Linked DNA regions of Alligator mississippiensis. The protein of the gene in region 1 interacts with the protein of each later gene in a pairwise test. Links are inferred from orthologs where the notes say so. Each region holds a gene or a part of one and is shown in the gene's direction. Other genes may lie near its edges.

Region 1 (11,683 bases):
CTCCTATGGCTGCTTACCTCAAAATAAAGAAATGCTTCAACTTTGATGACCTAGTTCCCCTTGCTCACTCACTACCGAGTTAGGGTCAGCAATATACGGGAAATGTGTGTCATGTGCAAAGTCATTTACATATTTCCTAGTGTTTTTCAGCCAATAGGATACTTTTGAGCTTCCACCAGGATAATTTCATATCCTGCCCCCCTCCCCAGAAACCTCAGGCTGATGGGGGGAGGCTCCAGCCTCCCCCCACTACACCAGACCGGGGTCGCCCCTGCAAAGGGGCCCGACGCTGCTCCCTCCGGGCCGGGCCCTGCCCCTCCACCACGAGAGGACGACGCCCTCCCCCCGCCGGGCCGCACCTGTAGCCGTAGGCGGCGAAGCGCTGACTCTCCCGTAGCAGGACACGGTAGATCCGTAGCACCTCCGCTCGGCTGGACGCCGCCATCTTGCCGGTCCTCTCGCAAAGGCCCCCTCTCGCTCAGCGCGGGGGCGCCCTTCACAAATGCCTGATTCCCCCGCGCCGCCGGCACGCCCTAGAGAGGGGAGCGCTGGGGCTGGCCTCGTTATTTCTCCCGCACCCCACTTTCCCCGCCCTAGCCGTGGCCTCCCCTGCCCCGGCGCGAAGTGGGCGGCTTCCGGCGCGTCAGGCGCGTAGCTGGCAACTACAGCGCCGGCACTGCGAGGCCCGGGCTCGAGCGGGAGGTGAGCGAGCGCGCGAGCGAGCTAGCTAGCGCGCGAGGGGTGGTGGGTGCGGGGCCTCGAGGCACAGCCTTGGCGCGGGGGGCGGGGCCGCGGCTTCGTGCGGAGCGCGCGGTGGGGGGAGCAGGGCGAGGGCCCCGCGCCCGGGCTTCTATCGCCTGCGCTGCCCGGCGGGCGCCCGCGGCGTAACTCTACGCCTCTGGCGTAATTGTGGCGTATGGGGGGAATGTGCGTGCGTTGGGGCCTTGCTGTGGGCTCAGGTGTAAAGCTAGGTAGAGGCTGACCAGCTCGGGAGTTGTATCATTTTTTAAGCCCTGACTTTCTAGTCCTATTATTATTACTCTTATTATCCCTTGAGGATCCCTTTTGCCTGAGTTTATTGCGCAGTTGGCTGGCGAAGCGCATCATAAATGTAAGGGGTGCAGCGTTGTTCTTAAACATCTACGCTTCACGCATGTGAAAAACGTAGCTTTTTCTTTTGTATCCATCCAGGAAGAGCACGCAGCAACTGCTGCAGCGTCCTTAGCCTGACGAAGGGTTTTTGAACCTGAATTCTCCAACCATTTGGGTTGGTCTAATAAAAGATATCAAATTCACCCAAGGAACCTTGTCTTTCTTTTGTATCTATGCATTTATTTATGCAGGTATCGTTTTCATTAAAGCTAAGTTTTGAATGAGGGGTGTGTGTGGCAGCCGTGTTGGTCTGAGACAAAAAGAAACGCAAAAATCTAGAACTTGGTTCAGAAATGATACCTTTCTCTTTGATAAAAAATGAAGTTTATTTTGTACGTGGGGGCTTTTTACCATCTTTAACTTTCCCTGAGCCTGATGAAGGACATGTGAGCCTGAAAGCTTGCAGAAAAAGATGATTTTTTTTGCTATTTCTCAGTTGGTCTAATAAAAGGTATAATTTCTGAACCAGGAGTTCTAGATTTTTGCAAATTCTAAATTATACATTTAAAGCTTAGCCCTTTTAAATCTGTGTATCTAGATAAATAGATATATAAGAAAGAGCTAAGTTTTTCACATGCCCGAAGTGTAGACTTTAAGAGCAACGCCCAAAATCAGAAGAGTTGCCAGCACTGCGTGTGCCAGTAGGTTTGCTGGTGTGTGGCCCTTGTTTAGGGGTTCTTGGTTCCCTGCATCCTGTCCTGTCCTGTCCTGTCCTGTCCTGTCCTGTCCCCTTGTTTCCCACACAAACATATGTGCCGGGCAGGGCTGCAGCTAAAATTAGATCCGGTGTGAAATCTGCATTGCGACCTGTGTGTGTATGGGGGGAGGGGTTGGCTGTGGGTAATAAGCATTTGAAGGGGGATAAAAACAAATATTTTGGGGGGAGGGTGGGGAGAAGAGGCAAACCATCTGTTTGGAAGCCCCTGGGGCCACCCTTGGCTGTTATTCCCTTTCATGCCTGCAGCTGTACACTCTTGTCAGGTCCCACAGACAACGTGAAGATGTGGCGCTTTGCCAGATCTTGGGGAAAAATGGGGTGCTGCAGACATGTCACGGAATAGGAAACAACCCTCTCAAACCTTTCCCCTGCTAGTTTACTGGGAGCTCCAAAGACTGCCCTCTTCCCCCCCCCCTCCCTCCCTTTTTTTTATGCTTCTGTGCAGTTCACTGAATAGATTTTAATGTAATCTGGGAGCGGATCCAGGGGTGGTGCACCGGTCCACTTGCACCCTCCTTCTCCCTTTGATTTCTGCTCCATCCAAAGTTTAAAACTAACTTCCTGTTAGTGGCAGCAGCATTTCTAGTCAGGTAGACCAGAAGCAGACTGAGGTAGTCAATTGACTTAATGTCTCATTATCATCTACCTGATCCCTTCTGAACTCATTCTGTTGCCAAAACGGCTAGTTTCGTTCCCCTGGAGGCTTGTTCAATTACCCTCAAGGAGAGAGTCACACACACAGGCTGGGTCCATTTAGGTTTATTGTTTGCAAACAGTTCGACCGGGGAGCAGAGCGCTCAAATCAGGGCCGATGATGAGTCCGGCCCGGAATTACATTTTTATAGCTTACATTCAACAGAGTCTTAACGTATTAGGAGTTTATTGGCTGCAGTACCAGTTCCTAATTGTGACGTCTTATCTTGTAGGCTGTACTTAACTAGTTATTGGTTAATGTGACTTATCAGGGTTAGTACATGCACACTCAAAGGTAGAATTGCAGCATGCGCAGAAGAAAAGAGCAATTTCAGCAAAGTTAGTTAAACTTTAGTAACTTCCTATCTTAACGTAACCTTGAGGCACTGGACAGAGATGATTTCAAAATGCAGGGCAAGCAGTAAGAACCGCAGACCACAGCTTGGACGTTAGACCTCCTGATCTTACACAAAAGGGTCATAAGATGGTCATAAGACACTTCTATCATATGGTTGTTGCTCAAGCATTACTGCAAAATTATGGGGGCTAACGTCTTTTTACTACAATTCCACAGGTGTTAATAACCCTCTATGGTTTTGATGTTCCACCAATCAAGCTATCCCTTATTCTACAATTCTGCTGTCTGTTAGCTGCCTCTGTTAATGAAGCTCCCCTTTCACAACCTTTCCCCCCCTACAGTAGATAGAATTTTGATGCTGTGGGCTGGGAGGGGAGAGGGGGGTGTCATCTTTTGCAGCTGACACTAATTTCCCATGGCAGAAAAAAGGAGGTGTCATCATCTCCTCCCTGGTCTCCCCCATGCAGCAGCAAACCTCAGGCTTGTGCTCCAGTGGAAGCCAGCCTTTTTGGCAGGTGTCACCAATTAGCTCCATAGCCTCCCCCAAGTGGCACTCTGATTCCCTTCTGCTGTCTAATCTGCTGCTGTGCTTTCTGCTCCCTGCCCAGTCTCTTCTGTTTTTTGTTTCCTACCCTGTGCTCTCTGTGTGATCTGTTTGCTTTCTGTTCCCTGCCCTATATGCCGTATGCCTTACACAGAGGTCACTCATGCCACAGGTTGCCCACTCCTTTCCTACACCATGCACTGCTGCTGCTGTTCTGTCCTCTTTGCTACTGGAGCTGGAGCCACTGCAGGGAAGATGCAGGGTGTTGTGGTGGAAGGGAGGGTAAGGTCTCCCCGGGCAGCACCTGGGGCTTATGCCCCACTCACCTGCCCATTGTTACCCTGCTTTTGAAATAGGAAGAGTAAAGGGGGATCAAATTGGTTAGGTGACAAAGTTGCCAAGGTAGAAGACAAGTCAACAGCCGGTATTGTTCAAGTTCCTTTTGTGTTTCCTTGTGCTTCCCCCAAATTTCAGTATATGTGTCCATGGCAAGTTCAGAATATTTCTAAGTGTTCAGAGAAATCCACAGATTATAGCTCAACAATTCCTGCTCTGGGATCCAACATGAGTTGCTCTACATAGTTGGTGAGTTTTTGGATGGTTAACTTGTAGCCAGCTTAAGTGCTAATATTCCTCAGGAATACAAGTTGTCTTGATTTTTTTCCAGAATTCACTGTTTTCATCTGTGCTTTGCCTGAGCCTCTTTTTGCCTGGCACGGGAATTTCTGATTGGTGGAGGGAGGTTGAATTTTGGGTGTTGCAGTTAAGCATTGAATTCTGGGTGTTGCAGTTGTGGGTCCAGGAGTATTATGCAAGGCCGAAATTTGTTGGAACTGACCCAGAAAAAAAAATAGCTCCCCAAATCTCCAGTGCAGTGCCTGGCTCACAGAGTGAACAGTTAATGATGAATAATTACATTCTGCTTGTTTACACACTAGCACTTCCTCACAATTTACATCCTTGGTCTCTGCTCCTCTCCCATCTACCCTGCAAGAATCCAGTCTTCTGTACCTGCAAACAAAACATCTCTTGCCCCTGACTCTGCTGGTAGTTTTGCAACTAATAGTATTAATGCTGTCATCCTAATCCATGAGTATTATGCCATATGTGTATCCATGACTGATTTATTTTTTTTGTACGATATCATCAATATGAATTAATATGTGGATTGCAGTGTTGTAGTCTGTCTATTATATGAAAATTAAACAGAAAAGAATATATCTGCCTACACTGCAGGTGTTTTATGCATTCTCACTGTACGAGACGATGCTTTATTCTGTAGGCATACTGGAGTTTTGTTAATTCCATCGGTATTTCTGGTACAGTTTAGGCTGTGTTCGTAAACCAGATCTGTTTGTGTATGTGTAAATAACAGATAAATATCAAAACATCTTTGTTGGACTTGTCTCTGTGTCAACTTATGTATTATACGCACACAAGTTTTGTTTTAGCTTCCTTTTGAGGCTTGTGAAAACCAATCAAGTTAAAATAAATTCCATTGTTTTATTCTGTACAGCACATTACTTATTTTTTATTAAAAGCAAGGCTTAAATTTGAATTGTCCCACAGAGCTGTAATTAAATACCATGGTAGAACCATTCTCTTTGAGGTTTCCTTTGTGGTTGTGAATCTTGGATTTATGTAAACTAGTTCTGTTTTGCATATTAAGGAAACTCAAACAGAGTTTACACACAGACACACGTGCACATACTTTTAATTGTCCTTGTGCCATATGTTTGCCTTTGTCTGGGTACTTAATATGTACTGAAGTGGAATTTTTTATTTTTCTTTGTAAATTTAACATCCTTCCTAAAAGTTTCAGAGACAACCACATTTGTTCTTTCCTCCATATATTTCAGAAATCCAAAAAAAATTAAGTCTTTTATGTAGCCAATAAAATGTGGCTTGAAAGTTTACAAAGATCCAATATGTAAGAGTAACTTTATACATTGGTTCAGTGATGACTCCAGAAGTGAGGGAAGAAAGTAGTAGTTAGGCAGATAGCGCCTCTAAATTTTGAATGTTCGTTCCTTCACTAGTAAAGCTAGAGGTTCCGATGCTCTATTCTTCATCTACTGAATAATGAGGAAGAAGGCAAGACTAGACTAGATAAAGGGTTAACCTGTTTTTTTGTGTGTGTGTTTGGGGACTCTATAACCCTTAAATTGATTAAGTCATTTAAAAGTGATTTAAAGGTTGTACTAGATGCCTTGAGCCAAGCGTGAACATGCTCGGTCCATAACGAGAAGCAGTAAAGCTGTGTTAATATGTGGTGCTGCATCTGACCAAATCAGACCTGCTTCCCAGGGAAGCTAATTAGCCTAAGCAGGAAAGGGTCTGCCTTATTTTTTGTTCCAGAGCTAGCATGCACAGGATTAGCTTGCGTGCCTTGAGGGCGCTGCCATACACTTTGGGTACCTGAAAATAGTTACTATTTCTTCTCAGTTCTTTTGCCAACTTTTATGGCTTTACAGTCACATTGTCAAAAAGCCAAGCAGAAGAACCCAATGCACAAATTTTTACTGGATACAAAAGGAAAACTGAAAAAAGTGGAGCCGTCCCCTTACCTTCTATTATCTTTTTAGTTATAATCTCAGGTGTTCCTTGAATCTAGTAGCACAGTTTCCAGACAGAAATGGCATTTCTTTTTACGCTGATGGTATAATTGGATACAGTGATTAATTTTATTATTATGTTTAATTTTGTGCAGCAGCTATGGATTATGCAAAAACAAGCCCTGCTTTTCTTTAGGATAAAGGTCTTGGTTGTGCTTTGCTCAAGTCACTGACATATGGGAGCAAGCTTAATTAATTTTTATCTGTGACAGCTGCATTATTGTGGTTAGTTACTTGTTTAAAAAATATAGGGAGTTTGATGATATGTGTTCAGTCTCATCTTGAATAAAACCTTGGTAGAATTCTAGTCTGTCAAAAGTTTGCTGGATGATGGTCACTTGGGTGTGTTTTATGCAGTGTTCTTTTTCAGCGGGTGTGCGCAGGTCAGTGAGGAGAAATTGGGTAGGTCTCTCTTTGCCTTATCTTCTAGGATATATGAACAGTTTGAGAATGATCTAATAACATGAGCATCTGGCATACTTAATAATGTTCTAAATCTGTAGAAGCAGAAAAAGAATTTTTAACAAAATACCTGTAGAGACTATGGAACTGTGTGAAACAAAGCAGCTGTTGCGTTCTCCAGGGCGTATTTGTAGCTTTGTCATATGTTACCTAAATTATTCTTTGTCGTGCACTATTTCAGCTTTATGACGGGGCACTCAACACTTTGAGAGGGCATGTGCTTTCCTGTTATGCTGTTGTTCATGTTGATTATTTTTCTTTTGGGGTCAGAATGATAATTGATTGTCATGGTATTGTCATCTCTTTTAATTATTATTTTTCAGCTTGTAAAAATGTAATAAATTCTTTTCCCTCCTGCTGTTCTTATTCTCTCTAACTTTCATTACTTTTGCTCCTTGATGGGCAGCATTACTCAAAAGCTAGATTCTGCCTTGGTATCTCTCTTCAAAAGCCATTGAACTGGAAATGCAGTTCACGGTAAAATTTAACTTCCAGCCAATGTTATAGTCAATTATAACTAAATAAGAGTTTGTTTGCTGCCTACATTGGATAGAATTATTTGTTCTAATAACAAAAAAGATGTCCTGAATAACTCTTTCTACAGCTAGTCATTCTTTTTTCTGTTCCTGTGATTGTCTTGAGAAAGGAGGATAAGGAAACATTTTTGCAAAAGCTCTTAAGTGATTTAAAGACACAGGTCTCTGATTCTCCATGGTAGCTTTGCTCCTAAATTACTTACGGACTTTGAAAAATACCACCTTAAAGGTTTTATTTTGCATGGGGGGGAAGAAAGAGCAAAAGAAGTCCTATGCGAGAAATTCTCTTCCTTTATGAATCCTATTGCAGGAGGCTGATCGTCTTTCAGTATGCATGGTCTTGCTTTCCTTAGTTACATTTTTTCCTTCTTTATGTCATCAATAGATAGAAAGTGTATTAATGAAATGGAAAGCTTTTGGAAATAGACAAAAATTTGTGCAAAAAAGGAATAGGTGGGCTATATGCACAACAGAGCTACTTCAGAGAAGAGCTCTTAAACATTTAAACAGTTTAGCAAGACCTTAATGTTTGGATTTAAAATATGTTATTTTAGTATGCGATATCTCACTTTGGAAGAAGTTTGCAATGGACAAATGTCTGCCAAAGGGCTTTGAAATTCTTGAATAGGAAGTGCTACAGAAAGTACAGAATTAAATATGGCTTTGTGTTAAGACTTTACACTTGAACTCAAGAGATTTAAAAATATAAATTATTTTGTCCCTTAAAATATTAAATCTGTAATAGTGATGCTAAATTCCACAGACTTTCCTAACCTTAATACTGTGATATAGTTTCAAATATTTCTTGGGTCCATTTTCTGTTCTTCATATTGAAATCCTATTAAGAGACTAGAGATGAACAAGTCTCATTAAGGGCCGTGTTCCATAAAGCTTCAAAATTGTGTTCTACGTTATACTTTTTTGTATTTTGTCCAGTCTTAAGTAACTGCCCTTCCCTTTGCAGAATATTCCATGTTTTAATATGTTTCATGGTCAGGAGATGTTTTCTGATATTTAGTCTCAGCCTTTCCCTTTCATAATTTCATTCCATTAACCCTAGTTACGTTCCTCAGAGGCACTCTCTGCAGTTTCTTCGCTCCATGGTGATTTATACTTTCATCATGTTTCTCCATAGCTGTCATTTAGCCAAGCTAACATATTTAGTTATTTTCATCTTTCTTTCTATTTTAGCTGATGCTGGGATTTTAGCACAGAAAGCAAACTGCAGTGCTGGAAAACAAGGAATGATATTTTAAGAGCAACTGAATTTACATTTTTCTGTGGCTCATAGCCACCAATTTATTTCTTGGCTGACTTGGAATATCTGACACCCCGGTCAGTTACAAATGGGAATGCAAACCTTTTTAAAAAAAAATGTTTTCAATTGCAGTTGAGAGCAGCCTTGCTAAGGCAAAATTTGTTGTACTGAGCTTTGTTTTTGCCATGGATGTTTTGTGGCTATGTATAAAATTCATTGCACTAAATGTTTCCTTGTTAAAGAAACCTCCTTTTTCCTGGAACCATTGCTTGGAGAAAAGTTAATATATATAAAAAAAAATGCCAGCCCATCTTGGGAAGTCAAATGAATCTGGGTCAAAGGAAAGGATAATCAAGGGAAAGAAGCCAAAAGCCCATATTATATAAACATTGCTGTAGATGGTGAAATGAAAGATCTATTGATACTAGGGAGAACTATGCATACATAAGATCCTGTAATATTTTAATTTTCAAAAGACCAAGGGTATTTGAACCAAAGAAGGACCTTTGGAAGGTTTGTGTAAAGCAGCGAAGGGAATAGTTAGGCAGAACCAACACACACTTGGGCCACAAGGAGGCCACTCATTTTGTTCACTAGCTCAATGTCTAGTGAAAATGTGGGTGCCTTTTTCCTTGTAGTAGTGGTTGATGTTTAAGACGGATGTTATTTTCAGTCAACTAAAAGCAAAAGCCATTTAAATGCAAAGTTAAAGCAGAAAGGCAAAACAATCAGCATTCTTGCCAATGTTCTTCAGTGAGAGCTAGGACAGTTCTCACTGAAATGTTTCCTCTGCAAACTCCTACCAGGGTGCTTACAGGTGGAGATGCTGGTCCCTTTGTCAGTACCACTTCCTAGTAGGGATGTAAATATTGTTTAAAAAAAAATTTGTTTAACTTCCTTTAATTCTATTGGTTAATCGTTTAACCAATAACACACTAGCTCTGACACAGCTCCTGGCTCCTGGGGTCCCTTTGACTGTGTGGGGCTGGAGGAGGGGTGGGCAGAGGAGAAGGCAAGCCCAGCCAGACAACATAGCCCACCTGGGCTGGGAGGGAGGGAGCACCTGTGAATTAACAACTAATTGCTTAACTGATGAGTCATTAGCAGGGATCCTGGCTTTCTCTGTTTAAAAAATTCAAAATTCTCTGATAAGAATAAGAGTTGCTACCCAGGCGGGATGGGTGCAGGATGGAGCCATGGCTTATCCGGGGGGGGAGAGCAGCTCTCACCGCTGCTCATCTGGGAGGGCACAATGGTGGGAAGAGGGGGCTGTGTCCCCAGATCTGCATGGGATGGGGCAGGGCAGGCTGCAGCTGTGGTCTGGGGGCTGTGCTGCACTCAGGGTGGGTGGTGGTGGTGCTGGGAGGGCGTTAAGCGGTGGGGACTGCAGCCATACCAAATTTCACCGTAGCCCCCCCCAGTGCCACCGCTGCCCACCCCAAGCACACGCCCTCCTGTGCCCTCCTGAACGAGCAGCGGGAGCCACCAGATAAGCAGATGAGCTGCCAGGTGAGCCACGGACAGCGGCAGGAACTGCTTTCTGCCCCTGCCCCTGGTGCCCCCTGGACAAGCCACGGCTCCGTCCCGTGCTCACCCTGCCCCACCTGGGCAGTGCCTACCCCAGCTCCACTCCCTCCCTCACCATGGGGGACATTAATCTGCCTCCCTCCTGCCTTTCCACCACAACAGACTTACCAGCTGTACACAGCTCTCTAAGCTGCTGTGCTGTGCTTGCTGCCTATGTGCTGCACTGTGGCTGCACACATGTATGGGCATTTATTGGCCAAATTATCAGCCACTTCTTGCCGATTTCTATTATAGTAAATTTTCTTTATATCGGTGCCGATCTGATATTGGACCGATATAGCCGTGCACCTGTACTGTGCAGCTTTCCTTTTCCCCTATTCCCTGCTAGACTCTGCCCACCCAGAGCTAAAGGATAACTGGTAAGCTAACTGGTTATCACTGCACTTATTGGTTAAATGATTAATAACTTTTTATATCCCTGCTTCTTAGAGGTGGTGTTGTGGCAGGTGAGTTTGATTCATGATATTTCTGTGATCTAGTGGATACTTTAATCTGGTAGCAAAACCAGACAGTACTATGCCTGTTGTTCATGGTAAAATGTCAGAAAGCATGATTCTTTTCTCATCTGGACAACCACTAATTCTTGGGTTTCTGTCTAAATTTAAAAATATTTCCTTTTTTTAATTAGGAAAACAATATTTTGTGTCCCAAGCATTCAGTGAATATTGTAATTATAAAATTCAAGACATATTTTAGTTTTACCCCTCTATTCAATATCGCTTTTAAGGCTGTTGTGGAACTTGAAGTATTCATGGTTGTGATGCCTGTGATTTTAGGAAGGATCTCTGAGGGTATGGGAGATCTCTAAGAAGCATAAGGACAGAGAAGTGCAGGTAATATTCTGTATTTTCCTTACCATGGCTACAGAAGACTGTTTCTTTTTTGGTCTTCCATTCTATAGGTTCTCATCTCCAGAGGAGGTTATACCCAAACTCATGTGTCAGGCGTTCTGAAGGAAAGGCAAGATCAGAAGAACACCCTGACCAAAGCAGACAAAAAAACCCACCTTTCTTTGGAAGTAAGTGCTTCTGTTTCTACAGCTCTCACCTTCAGGGACCCTCATTCTCAGTTGCTTCTTTTTAAATAGGAACCAAAGTCCCTCCTCATTTTAAGAGAGCTTGCTACCAACAAACATCATGCTAGACTTCTAACTTTGCCCTTGATATCAAGTTAATGGTTTCTTCATCTCCTGTACCATGTTGAAAGAAATAGTGAGACTCAAGATAAGTGGAGGGTGTCAGAATCTGACCCTTTACTTACCTTGATTTGTGCCTTCCTTTGATGTATGAGAGAACCAGATTCTGTCTCCATAAGTGATTTATGATGTGACGAGAAAAATCACAGTGTCACGTAAAATGCACCTTAGGCAGAATTTAGGCACCTAAATTGAAATAAATAATCTACAGAAATCCTGACTACCTATTTATGTGGCAGGGTATCCGTAGGTGCCAGGGACTACTTAGTCCTTTTGCCTTAGAGTGTCATGTAACAAAATATATATGCAGTGTTGGAGATGGGCTGGAACCTATGCCTCTCTTTCTTTCTCTTCACTGCATTACAGAGCTGTATTGCTTTTTCTCTCTCTGGCCCCATGAATCTTGCTTTCCTTTCTGCATAGTGGCACAGCTTCAACAAGTAGGGTGTAAAACAGCCTCATTCCAAGCCTAGTCTGTACTCTGGTGCTTAGACCCCATTCCTAGGAAGTGAAATGTGTAGATCTGAATGCCCCTAGGCTGGGAATGGCGTAAAACTCACATCTC
Region 2 (12,705 bases), on another chromosome or scaffold:
AGCTTGAAAATCATCAGGTGTTCATAAAAGCCAGCATGCACCTGTTTCTTTAAATACACAATCCAGATAAACTACCCAGTAGGTGGACTGCAGAACATACATTTTGTAGGAGGTAGATAGACCTCTGTCAGAAACCCTGGAGAAAGGACATAACTATTATGTTATACTTGCTTTAAACTGTTAAATATAGAAAATGTCAAACTGAAACTCTGAGGAAGAGGGACAGGAAAATTGTGATGGGAGAGGGTTCTTTAGTGCATAATGAAGTAGCTTACATCTATGTTTAAGATTCTACTTTATATAATGCATGCCATTCAATTACTCTTGCACTGAGCCCCCAAATTTATGTTTGATGAAAGCATATCCTTCAGAAAGGCATCCAGTCTTGATCTGAAGACATCAAGAATCCATCACTTCCTGTAGTGGCTTGTTCCAGTGGTTAATAACCCTTTCTGTTAGAAATGTGTGGTGTGGCTCATTTCTCATTTGTATTTGTCTGTCTTTAATTTTCACCAGTTGCTCCTTATTATACCTTTCTTCGCTTGTTTTTTGTAGCTGGTATTTTCTTCTTTTGATTGTTCTTTCACATTGTAATCGCCATCTCTCACGTTTCTTTCAGATAACCTAAGCAAATCAAACTCCTTCAGTGCCTCACTGGGCATGTCTACACATGCCTATTCATGCAAAGCAATTAACTCCAGTGCTTATTGCACCCGAGTTTATTGCTCCTGGGCATTGAATTTACATGTGCACCTGGGACCACAGCACGTTGAGTCAGGTTGAAGCAGCCCTGGTTGATAGGGGCCCAGGGGATCAGGCTGGTAGCCCACAGATGCTCTGATCTGGCTCAAAATGCTGTGGAGAGACTGGTTGGGGCATGAGGGTGCTGTGGTGAGAAGCTAACCAACAGGCAGCCCCTGCATTGAAGCACCCTCATGCCCCAGTCAGCCGCATCAGTGTCTACACATGCAGAGCTGCAGAGTAAAAAACTCTCTGCGGCAGGGTAATTAGTACTTGTATTTACAAGTATTACCTTGCTGTGGAGTTTAATAGTTTACTCCGGCCTAAAAGTCCTGCATGCGTAGACACCAGATATTTGCCACAGAGCTAGTCTACTCCACAGTAAACATCTCATGTAGACACGCCCACTGTTAGGCATTTTTTCTAGCCCTTAAATAATTCCATGGCTTCTTTCTACATCTTCAACTTCCTTTTTAAAATGTGGTCATCAGAAATATATCCACCAGTTTGTCTTACCAGTGCTGTCAACTGAGGTAAAATCACAGCTTATTTGCCACTCCCCTACATATGCACACAAAGATGGCATTTGCTTTCTTTGCCATTGCATCACTCTGTGATGGTGGGTAGCTATGGGGCAGGGGGTGGTAAGTGCTAAGAAATCCTGGTAGGATTTCAGCTCCTGTGAGGTAACTGTATAACTGAACAGGATGGTACAAGTCTCCAAGTATCACAGCAAGATGTACAGAAAGTGCAACAAAAAGTATTACAGGCCTCTGAGGCAAGACTTATGAAGAAAGGCTGAAAGAACTAAGGCTATTTATTCTGGAGAAGAGAAGATTGAGAGGGGATTTGATAACAGTCTTCAAATACCTGCAGGGTGATTATAGAGAATATAGAGATGGGCTTTTCTCTGTGGCTGTAAGGGACAGGCCTAGGGGAGCAATGGACTCAAACTGCAGCTGGGGAAATTTAGGTTGGAGATTAAAGGGAACTTTCTGACTTTGAGCATGGTCAAGCATTGGAACAAGTTACCTAGAGAAACTGTGGAATCTCCATCCTTGGACATTTTCAAGAGCAGTTTGAGCAGACTCTTGGCTGGGATGGTTTATTCAGTGACAATCCTTCTATAAAAGGGGGCTAAACTAGACAAATTTATGACAGAGGTGGAAAAAATATGACCTGTGGGCTGGATTTGGCCTGCCAAGCACCTTCATCTGGCCCATGGGGCACCCCAACAAATTGTGTCCACTCAGCCCTGCCACCCACAAGGGTGGAAGTGAGGCGTCCACATGTATACACAGCCCCCAAAAACGTACCCTATTGCCTGACTCCCACCCTTGTGGGCAGAAGCCGGCCAGCGTTCAGCTTCCATGTGGGGCTGCTGCCGCTACCCCTGGGACCTGCTCCACTTCCTTGGTCTCCTGCTTGCTTTGGGCAGCAGGTTGAGAAGCAGTGGGGGAGGGGCTGTGGCTGGGAGGGAACATGGAGCTTGGAGCTGCAGCTAGTGGCAACACCAAGCCTGCAACCAGGAGGACAGGGGGCAGTGGCAGCTTGGAGCTGGGGTGGGCAGTGTGTGGGTGTGAGGGAGAGTAGGGGGTGCAGGCCCTGCAGGTGGTGGCAGCAGCAGCAGCAGGCGGGGCGCTCAGGGCGCAGGTGCCTGGCATGGCACAGCTGTGGCCAGCACTACACATCACTGCAAGGGGAACAGCCTCCGCTGGGCTACCTGTATTGCTCGTGCTCCCTGTCATGCATGTGCAGCCCTTGCACTCGCAAGGCAGGGAGGGAAGCCCCATGTGCTGGAGCCGGCTGCCTTCCCTGCTCCGCAGGTGAAGGCTCCTGGGGCTTCTCTCTTCTGCAGTGCAGCCCCAGCAGGAAAGGCAGCCGGCTCCAGCCTGAGGCTTCTCTCCGGTGCTGCGCAGCCCCGGTGGGGAAGGCACCTGGCTCCAGCACATGGAGCTTCCCTCCCTGCTGTGCGAGTGCAGGGGCGGCACATGTGTGACAGGGAGCATTGGCAATACAGGCAGACTGGTGGAGGCTGTGCCCCTCACTGCAATGTGCAGTGCTGGCTGGAGCTGCACCTGTTCCCTGAGCACGCTGCCTGCTGCGGTGCCATGGGGGGGCGTGTGAGGGGGGTCCCTATACCTCCAACCTCCCTCACACCCACAGCTTGCTCCCACAACCCCCCACATATACACAAGCCCCCAGCATACCCTATGCCCCCACACAGCTACACCCCCTCACAAACCTCCCACATCCTACCATACACACCCCCCACATACACACACCACACACATAACACCCCCCCACCATATACACCCCCCCACCCACACCTTACCATACACCTGTCACAACTTACAAAAGTAAGAATTTATTCTTGAGTTATTATGCAATCACCTCTATATACAGTATGCAAACACAAATCATGATAAAAATATGTTTTGTAATAAAATTAAAATATGTTACAGTAGGTGTTTGACTTTTAGTGTATGATATAGTTTTTTCTGGTCCCAAGATGGCAACCCCAGCTCCCAAAAGGAGTATTTCTGGGAGGGCAAGGGGAAGGACTTCCAGCAGCAAAGGTAGGGGCTTGGGGGTGGGGCTTCCAATTAGAAGACTCATAGATTCATAGATGCTAGGGTCGGAAGGGACCTCAATAGATCATCGAGTTCAACCCCCTGCATAGGCAGGAAAGAGTGCTGGGTTCAGATGACCCCAGCTAGATGCTTATCTAACCTCCTCTTGAAGACCCCCAGGGTAGGGGAGAGCACCACCTCCCTTGGGATCCCATTCCAGACCTTGGCCACTCGAACTGTGAAGAAGTTCTTCCTAATGTCTAGTCTAAATCTGCTCTCTGCTAGCTTATGGCCATTATTTCTTGTAACCCCCGGGGGCGCCTTGTTGAATAAAACCTCACCAATTCCCTTCTGTGCCCCCGTGATGAACTTATAGGCAGCCACAAGGTCGCCTCTCAACCTTCTCTTGCGGAGGCTGAAGAGGTCCAGGTGCCCCAGTCTCTCCTCATAGGACTTGGCCTGCAAGTCCTTAACCATACGAGTGGCCCTTCTCTGGACCCTCTCCAGGTTATCCACATCCCTCTTGAAGTGTGGCGCCCAAAACTGCACGCAGTATTCCAACTGCAGTCTAACCAGCGCCCTATAGATGGGAAGTATCACCTCCTTGGATCTGTTCACCATGCATCTGCTGATGCACGATAAAGTGCCATTAGCTTTTCTGATGGCTTCGTCACACTGCCGACTCATGTTCATGATCCCTTTCTGCTTCCGTTCCACCAAGCAGGTCATTTCCCAGGCAGTAGGTATGCTGGACATTTTTCCTCCCTAGGTGTAGCACTTTGCATTTCTCCTTGGTGAATTGCATTCTGTTGTTTTCTGCCCATATGTCCAACCTGTCCAGGTCTGCTTGTAGTTGTTCCCTGCCCTCCGGCGTGTCCACTTCTCCCCTCAGTTTTGTGTCATCTGCAAACTTGGACAGAGTACACTTCACTCCCTCGTTCAAGTCACTGATGAAGATATTGAAGAGTATCAGTCCAAGGACCGAGCCCTGAGGGACCCCACTGCCCACACCCTTCCCGGTCGATACTGACCCATCCACTACAACTCTCTGGGTGCGACCCTCTAGCCAATTCGCCACCCACTGGACTGTGTAGTCATCCAAGTCATAGCCTCTTAACTTGTTTACCAGTATGGGGTGGGATACCGTATCGAAGGCCTTCCTGAAGTCTAAGTATATGACATCCACCCCTACTCCTGTGTCCAGGCATTTTGTAACCTGGTCATAAAAAGAGACTGGATTAGTCAGGCATGATCTACCTGCTACGAACCCGTGCTGGTTTCCCCTCAGCATAATTTGTCTTGCCGGGCTCTTGCAAATGTGAGCCTTGATAATTTTTTCAAAGACTTTGCCTAGGATGGAGGTGAGACTGACTGGTCTATAGTTGCCTGGGTCCTCCTTCCTCCCCTTCTTGAAAATGGGGACCACGTTGGCCCTTTTCCAGTCCTCCGGGACCTGGCCCATGCGCCATGACTGCTCAAATATTACCGCCAGTGGCTTCGCAATGACGTCAGCCAGTGCCTTCAGTACACTCGGATGGAGCTCATCTGGGCCTGCCAACTTAAAGACATCCAGTGCCTCCAAGTGACTCTGCACCATCTCAGGGTCTACGCATGGTAGTCTGGCCTCCTGCTGCTGCCTCTCTACAATCCCAGTGAGAGCCTTGTCCTGCCCCTCACTTAGGAACACTGAGGCAAAGAACTCGTTGAGGAGTTCAGCCTTGTCCCCCCGTCCGTCACCAATTGCTTCTGCCCATTTAGTAGGGGTCCTATTCCATCCTGGGCCTTCCTTGGCAATAAGGGGGCAGGGCAACTGTCAAGGGTCAGGACTACCTAGGCAGCTCTCGACAGCTCACCCAAACACATTAAGCAGCCCTTCACCCAAAATAATTGCCCGCCTCTGTCTTATGAGGTCCCTTCATGAGCAGATCCAGTGAGGTACAGTTGTAGCTGACTCCTGCTTCACTCAAACTTTAAAACCAGCTGCCTGGGAGGGGCAGTAGCATTTCTATCCCGGCAATGCTGTCAGAGTCAACTGACTTTGTTGCTCAGTATCATCTCCCTGATTTCTGCTACTTTCTCTCCACTCCACAGGTGTTAATGACCTTGCATTGTTTTTAATGGACTTGATGTTCCACTCTTGAAGTGATCCTTTCTTCTGACATTTTGCTGCCTGTTTGCCATTCCTGGCAATGTCTCTCATCTATTTCATGGTCGTGAAGACTGTTTTTAGCCCTAGCTGAAAACCTTAACTCGGGTAATATTAACTCAGTTGTAATGAAATGTAATGACAGTGAAGTACTGGAGGCACTATCAAGACATTCAAGAAGGCCAGATTATGTTTTGTGAATCTGAATAAGAGATGTAGATTTAACTATAATGACCACAAGCATAGGCAGCAGAACAGGGTGGGGGGAGAGAAGGGGCTAACTGGGCTCAGCCCCACAAACACAGACAGGAGGTAGGGCCCTAGGGCAGCCTGGCCACAGGCTGCTGCAGGAGCGGGGGAGAGGTGTGCACATACACACATACTCTGCGCGGTCAGGATCACAGCCAACTTAGCAGGCAGGTTAGTTTCTTTCTGTTTTCTTTACCTGGGCTTCGGGGGAAGGTGGGACAGAGCGAGATCCCCACAGTGCAGGAGGCAGTGGGGTAGGGGCAGGGGTGAACCATTTGCCCCAACACACTCCCTGCTGCACTGTGGGGATTGCTCCATGACCCAACTGGCAGGGGCCCCATTCACGGGGCCAGGCTGGGTCATGGGGCAATCGGAGCCCAGCAGCTTGTGCACTGTGGGGGGAGTCGGGGGAGGGAAGGCACGTTCCCCCTCTCCCTTGGCATCCCCACACCACACCTCTGGACAAGCCGGCGGGCTCACAACCAGCCGGGGCCCCATTCATGGCAAATGGGGCACCATCTGGACCAGGTCATGGGGCAATCAGAGTCCAGCAACTCCTCCAGAGGCACATCATGGCTCTGGAGAGCCAAGAGTGGGGACACATGGCCCCCTGATCTTTGCACAGGGCAAAGGCGGGCTGCAGTTGCAGGCTGGGTTCTGCCTGCTCCCTGCCTTGCTGCCACCTTTGAAAGTGGCATGGTGCCATGTGAGTCGCGCTGCTGGGCATGCAGGGCAGTGAGGCACATGGCACCACACTGCACCACTTTCAAAGGTGGCAGTGAGGCAGGGAGTAGGCAGAACCCAGCCTGCCCTTGCCCCGTGCAAAGATCAGGGGGCCACGTGCCCCGCACCCCACCGCTGGCTGCCCAGCACCTTGACTCTGAAGGAGTTGCCAGGCTGTGCCAAGCTCTTCCCAGGGACGATGTGGGGCAGGCATGGGGGTCCCATGAGCTCCTTCCCCCCCAGCCCAGCAGTGCAGCTGGAGCTGGCCCCAGTGCAGGGAGGCAGCTGGGGCTGGTGTGGGGCTGGGGGGGTGGCAAATTTGCGAGGCATGCCAGCACCGGGCAACGACTCCGAGCATGGGGGAAGGGGCGGCCGCACGGGTGCAGTGGGCCCCAGCCCTGATCCCAGCTGTGCTCCTATCCCTGCCTGGTCCCAGCCCCACTCTCCCCCCATGGCCCTTTCCCCTCCCTCTGCCCCTTCCCCGGCAGACTTTTCTGTGGGGGGGTGCGCACATGCATGTGAGCACTCAGCCCCCTCCTCCTCCAACCCAAAAAATGTCTCCCTCCACCTATGGCTACAGGACTAATGACAGAATTTCTTTTATTTTGACTATTTTTGCTTAGTTTGTTGTGTTTTTCTCAACTTAATACATAATCTAGCAAATTAATGACATACCAATAATTATATTTGTTTTTGTTTGATCTTAAATTGAATAATATACAGGTTTCCCTCGGTTTATGCGGTACATGCGTTCCCGGAGAACGGCGCGTAAATCAAATTTGCATAAAACGAACCCACTTTACAATGTAACAAATAGGGATAGATTCCCATGGTGGTGAGGGAGGAGAGAGTGAGTGAGGTTGGGACTAGGGAAGGGGTGGGGGAGGGGTGCTGCTCCCAGGGCTGCACAAGGCAGCAAAGCAGAGGGAGCAGTGTGGCACTCAACCCAGCCCCAGCTGCAGTGGCCTTGGGAGCAGCCAGCACCAGCTGGCTGCAGCCGCTGGGCTGCACCTTGTTCCGCCTGTCCCTTCACCTCTGCTCCTGGGCTGCGCCTTGCCCTGGTGCAGGCAGCCGGTGTCAGCTGCTCCTAGGGCCACTCCAGCACGGGCTGGGGTGAGTAAGGACAAGCTGAGCCCGGGGTGACACAGGGTGTGACACTCACCCCATTCCCAGCTGACAACAGACAACCTCCATGTACTAAGTTTGGGAGTGGGCGGGGGACGACAAAGAGCTACTTTAAATGCCTTGCAACTCCCCCCTGCCCCAAGAATTCACCGGGACTTTAAGGTGCCCTCACAGAAGGCTAGGCAGAGTCCCCAACTTCAGTAGGGATATAGGGGACCCCCCCAATTTCCCAACCCATAAAAACAAGAGGGTTGTCCACTATCCTATTTGGAATGCCACTGTTTTTTTCAATCCTGGGACTTACTTGGCCCATAAGCAACTGGCTTCCCCTCCCTCACTTTTCTTTCTAAGCATCCTATTCAGACTAAAAAAACCCCTCAACATTTAAGGTGCCTTGGACCATGTGGCCCTCTGGGTCTTCGTCACACTTTGCATTGGCGCTTGCGTCCTTCAGGAGGCAGGGGACGTGTGGGGAAGCGAGGTGGGGAATGGCCTGGGGGTAGTGCCCACACCCGAGGCAGCTTGGAGCTCAGCAAACTCAGACAGGCTTGGGTGTGGGGGGAGGTGACAGCGGGGAAAAAAGCGCGCCTGCTCAGCGCAGGGGGCGGGAAATCTGTCTCCGGGGCGAGCGCTGAGTCACTGCGATGCCCCCCAAACACCCCCGAGCTCCGAGACGCCTAGCAAAGGCAGGTGGCTTAAACTCTGCGCCGCAGCTCGAGCGGGAGGTGGTGCCGTGGGAGGCGCTCATCCCCCGCCCCTCACGGCTGAAGCGCCTGAGCGGAGCGGCATCTTCCCTTGTCTCATTGGAGGGAGGCGCCGCCGCCGCCGTGGAGAAGGTAAGCCATGTCGGCCACAGGGTGTTGCTGGAGCTATCTGCTCCCTTCCCCAGACAGCGGGGAGAGAGCCGTGCGGCGATCGCACGGCCCCCCCGCCTCAGGGCGGCAGTTAACGGCTGAGCGCTGCGTGGAACGTTCGTGACAGGAACGTTGGCTCGGGCCGCGCTGCTGCGCCACGGCGGGGGCGGGACGGGGCGGGGCGGAGAAAGCAACGGCTGCAGCGCGCGCCCCAGCATGAGGAGCTGCTGCTGCCACCGCCGACAGCCTGCCCTGCTGGGCCTCGTCTCTGTGTGCAGCCCCTGGGCCAGCCCTTCCTGCAGCTTCCTAGGGGAGTGCTCCCCACTGCTCCTCCCCTGACCAGCCGGGCGGGCACCTCCCCCGTAAGCTGCTTTCCTCCCATCCCCCCCTCAGCCCTGAGCTAGAGCAGGACTCTGTCACTGGGTCCTGGCTGTCTGTACACAAGGTTTTGTCATCCAAAAAAAAAGCTTCCCTCATTGTCCTGCCAGCTCTTCCCAGGGTGTCTCTGTCACGGAAGCATTCGGGCAGCGCTGCCCCTTGCACCTTGTGCCAGGCATGTCTGTTGCTGGAGGATGTCACGCCACTCCACCCATCGCAGCCTGACGTGAAGCCTTACTGTTGAGCAGAGTGGAGGCCCCCACTTCTATATCAGGGGTTTCTTTGGATGCCTACCCTGGGGTTACATTATTAAGAATAGTCTCAGCTTGATTTTAGTGCACAGGAAGAGGGAATGTGGTAAATGAGGACATGACAGTAGGTGAAGGAATACTAGGGGTTAGGAAGCAGCTAGATTGGTAGGGCCAGGGAGTACTGAGATGGATGAGAACAGTGGTCAGGCAATGCAGTTAGTTCAGGTCAGTGACAAAGAAATGAAATGTTTGGATGATCTTGCAAGAAGCCTAGACTGCCAGATGGAGGAACTTGAACTACTGGTTCAAGGTGTAAAGATAGATATAAGGACAACGGAAATATGGTAGAACAGCAAGCAGGACTGGAAAGATACTGCTGATTATGCACTGTTCAAGAAAGAAATAGACAGGGGTGGTGACGTAGCATTGCGTGACACTGATGTGATATAAGAGTAAAGAAATGAGAAGAATAAAAGGTTTATTCTTTTATTCAAATCCATGATATCTGGTGGGGCCAAAATCACTATAGATATTGGAGGCAGGGTGGATGTGCACTTTGTAGATGAAATTTTACAGTGATATTGCTGAAAGTTGTCTCTAGACTCCTCGGGTTGAAACTCAGGAAATAGACCAGCGATTCTCAATCAGGCTTTTGTGGCACTCTGATGCCACAGGGTAAGATCATTTTCAGCTTGCCATGGGGTGCCATGCAATTAGCACTGTTTAGTGTGCAAGCACCTATGTGATTCAGAAAATAAATCCAGAGATTTCAAATAGAAATCCAGAGTGTTAAAAACATTATGACCTGTTGTAGTCTTTCTGATGTAACAGAAAACAAATGCTCTATTATTTTTCTGTAGTCAAGAGGAGTGCCTTGCATCTAATAAGAGGTATCTTGAGTTTAAAAAAGTTTTGAGAACCACAGGTATAGATAAAGGAACAAAGTTACATTGAGTTAAAGATGGGGAGAATTACAGTGTATGAGCTGCTCCTTGACATTTGTTTTATGTGTCTGTTTCTTCCTGAAGTCAGCAGAAGCTAAGACACAGAAACTTAACTGTTTCACAAAATAGAAAAACTGTAAAGTAACTGATGTGTGGCAAGATCCCCTTTCCCTTTATAACTTGGTATAATGTTTTATCTGCCTGTTGCCTAAAGCAGTGGTTCTCAGCAAGAGTGCCATAAACCCCCTCAGGGGTGCTACTGCTGCATACGCAGCCAGGAAAAGAAGTGCCCCTTGTGCCTCATGCAGAGCCAGACCAGAAAGGACTGTGGGGCACGTATGGTCTCTTTAGGGTTCTCTGACAAGCCTAATGCGAATAGGAGAGCCAGTTTATGCTGCAGCTCTTCCCGGTCTGGTGTCCTCATGCCTCTGTGCCTCCCAGAAACAAAGGCACAGTTGGGGAGAGGTGTTCTTATGCTAAAGAAGTTGAAAATCGCTTCCCTAAAGAACTAGATAGCTAAGTCAAATGGACTGAGATGCTCAGGGATGCTAAAGGTTTGGAAGTTCTTTAAATCAGAGTTGCTAAAGGGTGAAAACAGAAGTGACAATTTTCACTCAGTCTGGCCACAGAAAGCAGTTTATAGCTGTGACCAAACAAGTGCAAGGCTGCAGACAGCTTCAAAAGTGGCCGATTGGGTGAAAATGTGACCCTTCATTGCACAAGGTATCAGATTGTAGCATCTTTTGTAACTTGTGTCTGCTGAACTCCCAGCCTGTTGCTGTTTTCAGAATGGAAGGGAAAGGGAGCAGAGGAAGTTCAGTCTGTGGGGGTTTCACCCCCCCACAAGTGTGGGGCAGATGTATTGGAGCACCCCCAAGGTGGAGGGCTCCAATTCACCCACCCCACCCTTCAGCACCAGTTGAGGAGCCTCTAGAATGAGCTCCCTCCACTGCCTTTCCTCCCTCCTATTCTGAAAACAGCAAGCACTGGCAAAGAGCCTTGGCCATTGCTGTGGGAACCTGGCTGCATGCTCCCAGCCCACAGCTAGATTCCCCTCTCCCCTAGAACCACCAGTGAACTTCTTTTTGGTCTCAGGGAATAGTGCAACTCCAAACACTTTGCAAAAATTGTTCTGAGTTACAGCTCGGAGCAGCACTTCTGTCTGCACCCAAAGTTGCTTATCAAAGGGGAGGAAAAGGAGAAAACTTTTGTATTGAAGAACTCCAGAGTAACTGGATGAATGACCACCTTTTACAAGGATATTTGGCATAAACAAAGAGCAGAAAAAGCTGATCCACAAAGAATGCTATGTCGGTGGTGGGAGGCAGTGCCAACAGATGTTTGATTAGAATAATGATTGCATTTGAATAGTAAATTTGACCCATGTACAATATAAAATAGATTGTTCTGAAAATGCCTAAATGTAAGCTAATTCAGAAACATCCAAAGAGTCTTACAGAAGAAAATTTTTATATTAGATAAGTTTTCCTTGTTTATTCAACCTTAAATGGTCTTTGGATTGATCCTCAAGTGTATGGACTAATTTTGAGGTATGTTACACACTTTACATTGCTTGTAAAGCAGGGATTAGCAACATTTTTTAGGCAGTGCCAAAAACACCTGCAACCTTGACTTGTAAGATGTTGGCGTGCCAGGGCGGATGGCAGAGAAGCCACCAGGGGCCCCTTTGTTGTGGCCATGCAACCCCAGCCCCTTCTCCAAGGTGTGAGTGCCAAGCAAAATGCCTTCGTGTGCCATGTCCTGGCATGCGTGCTGGGGGTTGCTCACCTCTGTTCTAAAGGTAAACATGTAGCAGCAGAGGATAGCAGTTCCCAAGTGGAATGCAACTAAAATGTGAAAGTTCTCAAAGCTTATGGTGAGGGGAATGATTGAAATATTTGTAAAGATTAAAAAGTATGTCATATTCTTAATATTTGTGTTGTACAATAATTTTTCATTAAGAACAATAATTTTGAGGTTATAATTCAGTATTTGTAGTTTTCAAATGTGGCAACACTGCTCAGAGGTCAAGAAATGCAGTAGCAAAACCAGAATTGCTAAAAATTGAGTTAGATTATGCAAAGGAGGGGTGTGAGACTCGCCTTGTGCCCTGGGCTGAATCTGGATTGTGAAGCAGGATCCAGCCATGGCATGAGGAAGGAGTGTTGGCAACATAGCTCAGGCTCTGAGCTAGTGCACGCAGCAGTGGTGGCAGTGTCAGCTCTGGCCCCAACCCAGGGCACATGGCGGTGACTCCCAACACTCATTAAGGCTGGTATCATGATTTGAGAATAACAAATGCAGTATTTGCAGCACCATACCTAGACTCCTGGTGGCCCCGGGCAAACGTTTAATATTGGGCCACACTTCACCAGAGAGAATAATAATAATTTTAAAATTAGCACTTTTGGGCTCCCTTTAGGCCCCCTTTTTCAGGCCCCAGGTGGCCGCCCGGTTCACCCGTGCCTGTGTCTGGCCCTGAGTACTTGTGAAAGGAAAAAGTACTCTGGGCAACAAGAAATCCATTAGTCTAACCACTATAATATTCTAGGCTTTATAACAAATTTTGTAGGAAAGAATAAAGATACAGAAGTAAATGAGAATTACAGTATAAAATACAGTTTAAATATACCAAAAGTTTGATTGTGGCAAATTAATTTGATTTTCTGAACAAAGAAAACATACTAGATGTCATCTACCTAAACATATTAGATGTTCATC

Evidence for each region.
Region 2: the proteins of FARS2 (region 1) and RCC1 and BTB domain-containing protein 2 interact in binary tests that used the Homo sapiens proteins (3 or more experiments, as listed by UniProt). The two-hybrid records come from large-scale screens. The link is inferred for Alligator mississippiensis from reciprocal best matches to the Homo sapiens genes FARS2 and RCBTB2.

What each region holds. Positions count from the first base shown.
Region 1 is NC_081826.1:122,805,788-122,817,470, forward strand, and holds the start of FARS2 (phenylalanine--tRNA ligase, mitochondrial), read left to right. Parts: upstream 1-5,815; 5' UTR 5,816-5,830; coding exon 5,831-5,879; intron 5,880-10,824; coding exon 10,825-10,941; intron 10,942-11,683. Other genes in the region: LYRM4 (LYR motif-containing protein 4), read right to left, coding at 360-445. UniProt on the Homo sapiens protein: Is responsible for the charging of tRNA(Phe) with phenylalanine in mitochondrial translation.
Region 2 is NC_081824.1:413,618,041-413,630,745, reverse strand, and holds the start of RCC1 and BTB domain-containing protein 2, read left to right. Parts: upstream 1-8,192; 5' UTR 8,193-8,393; intron 8,394-12,705.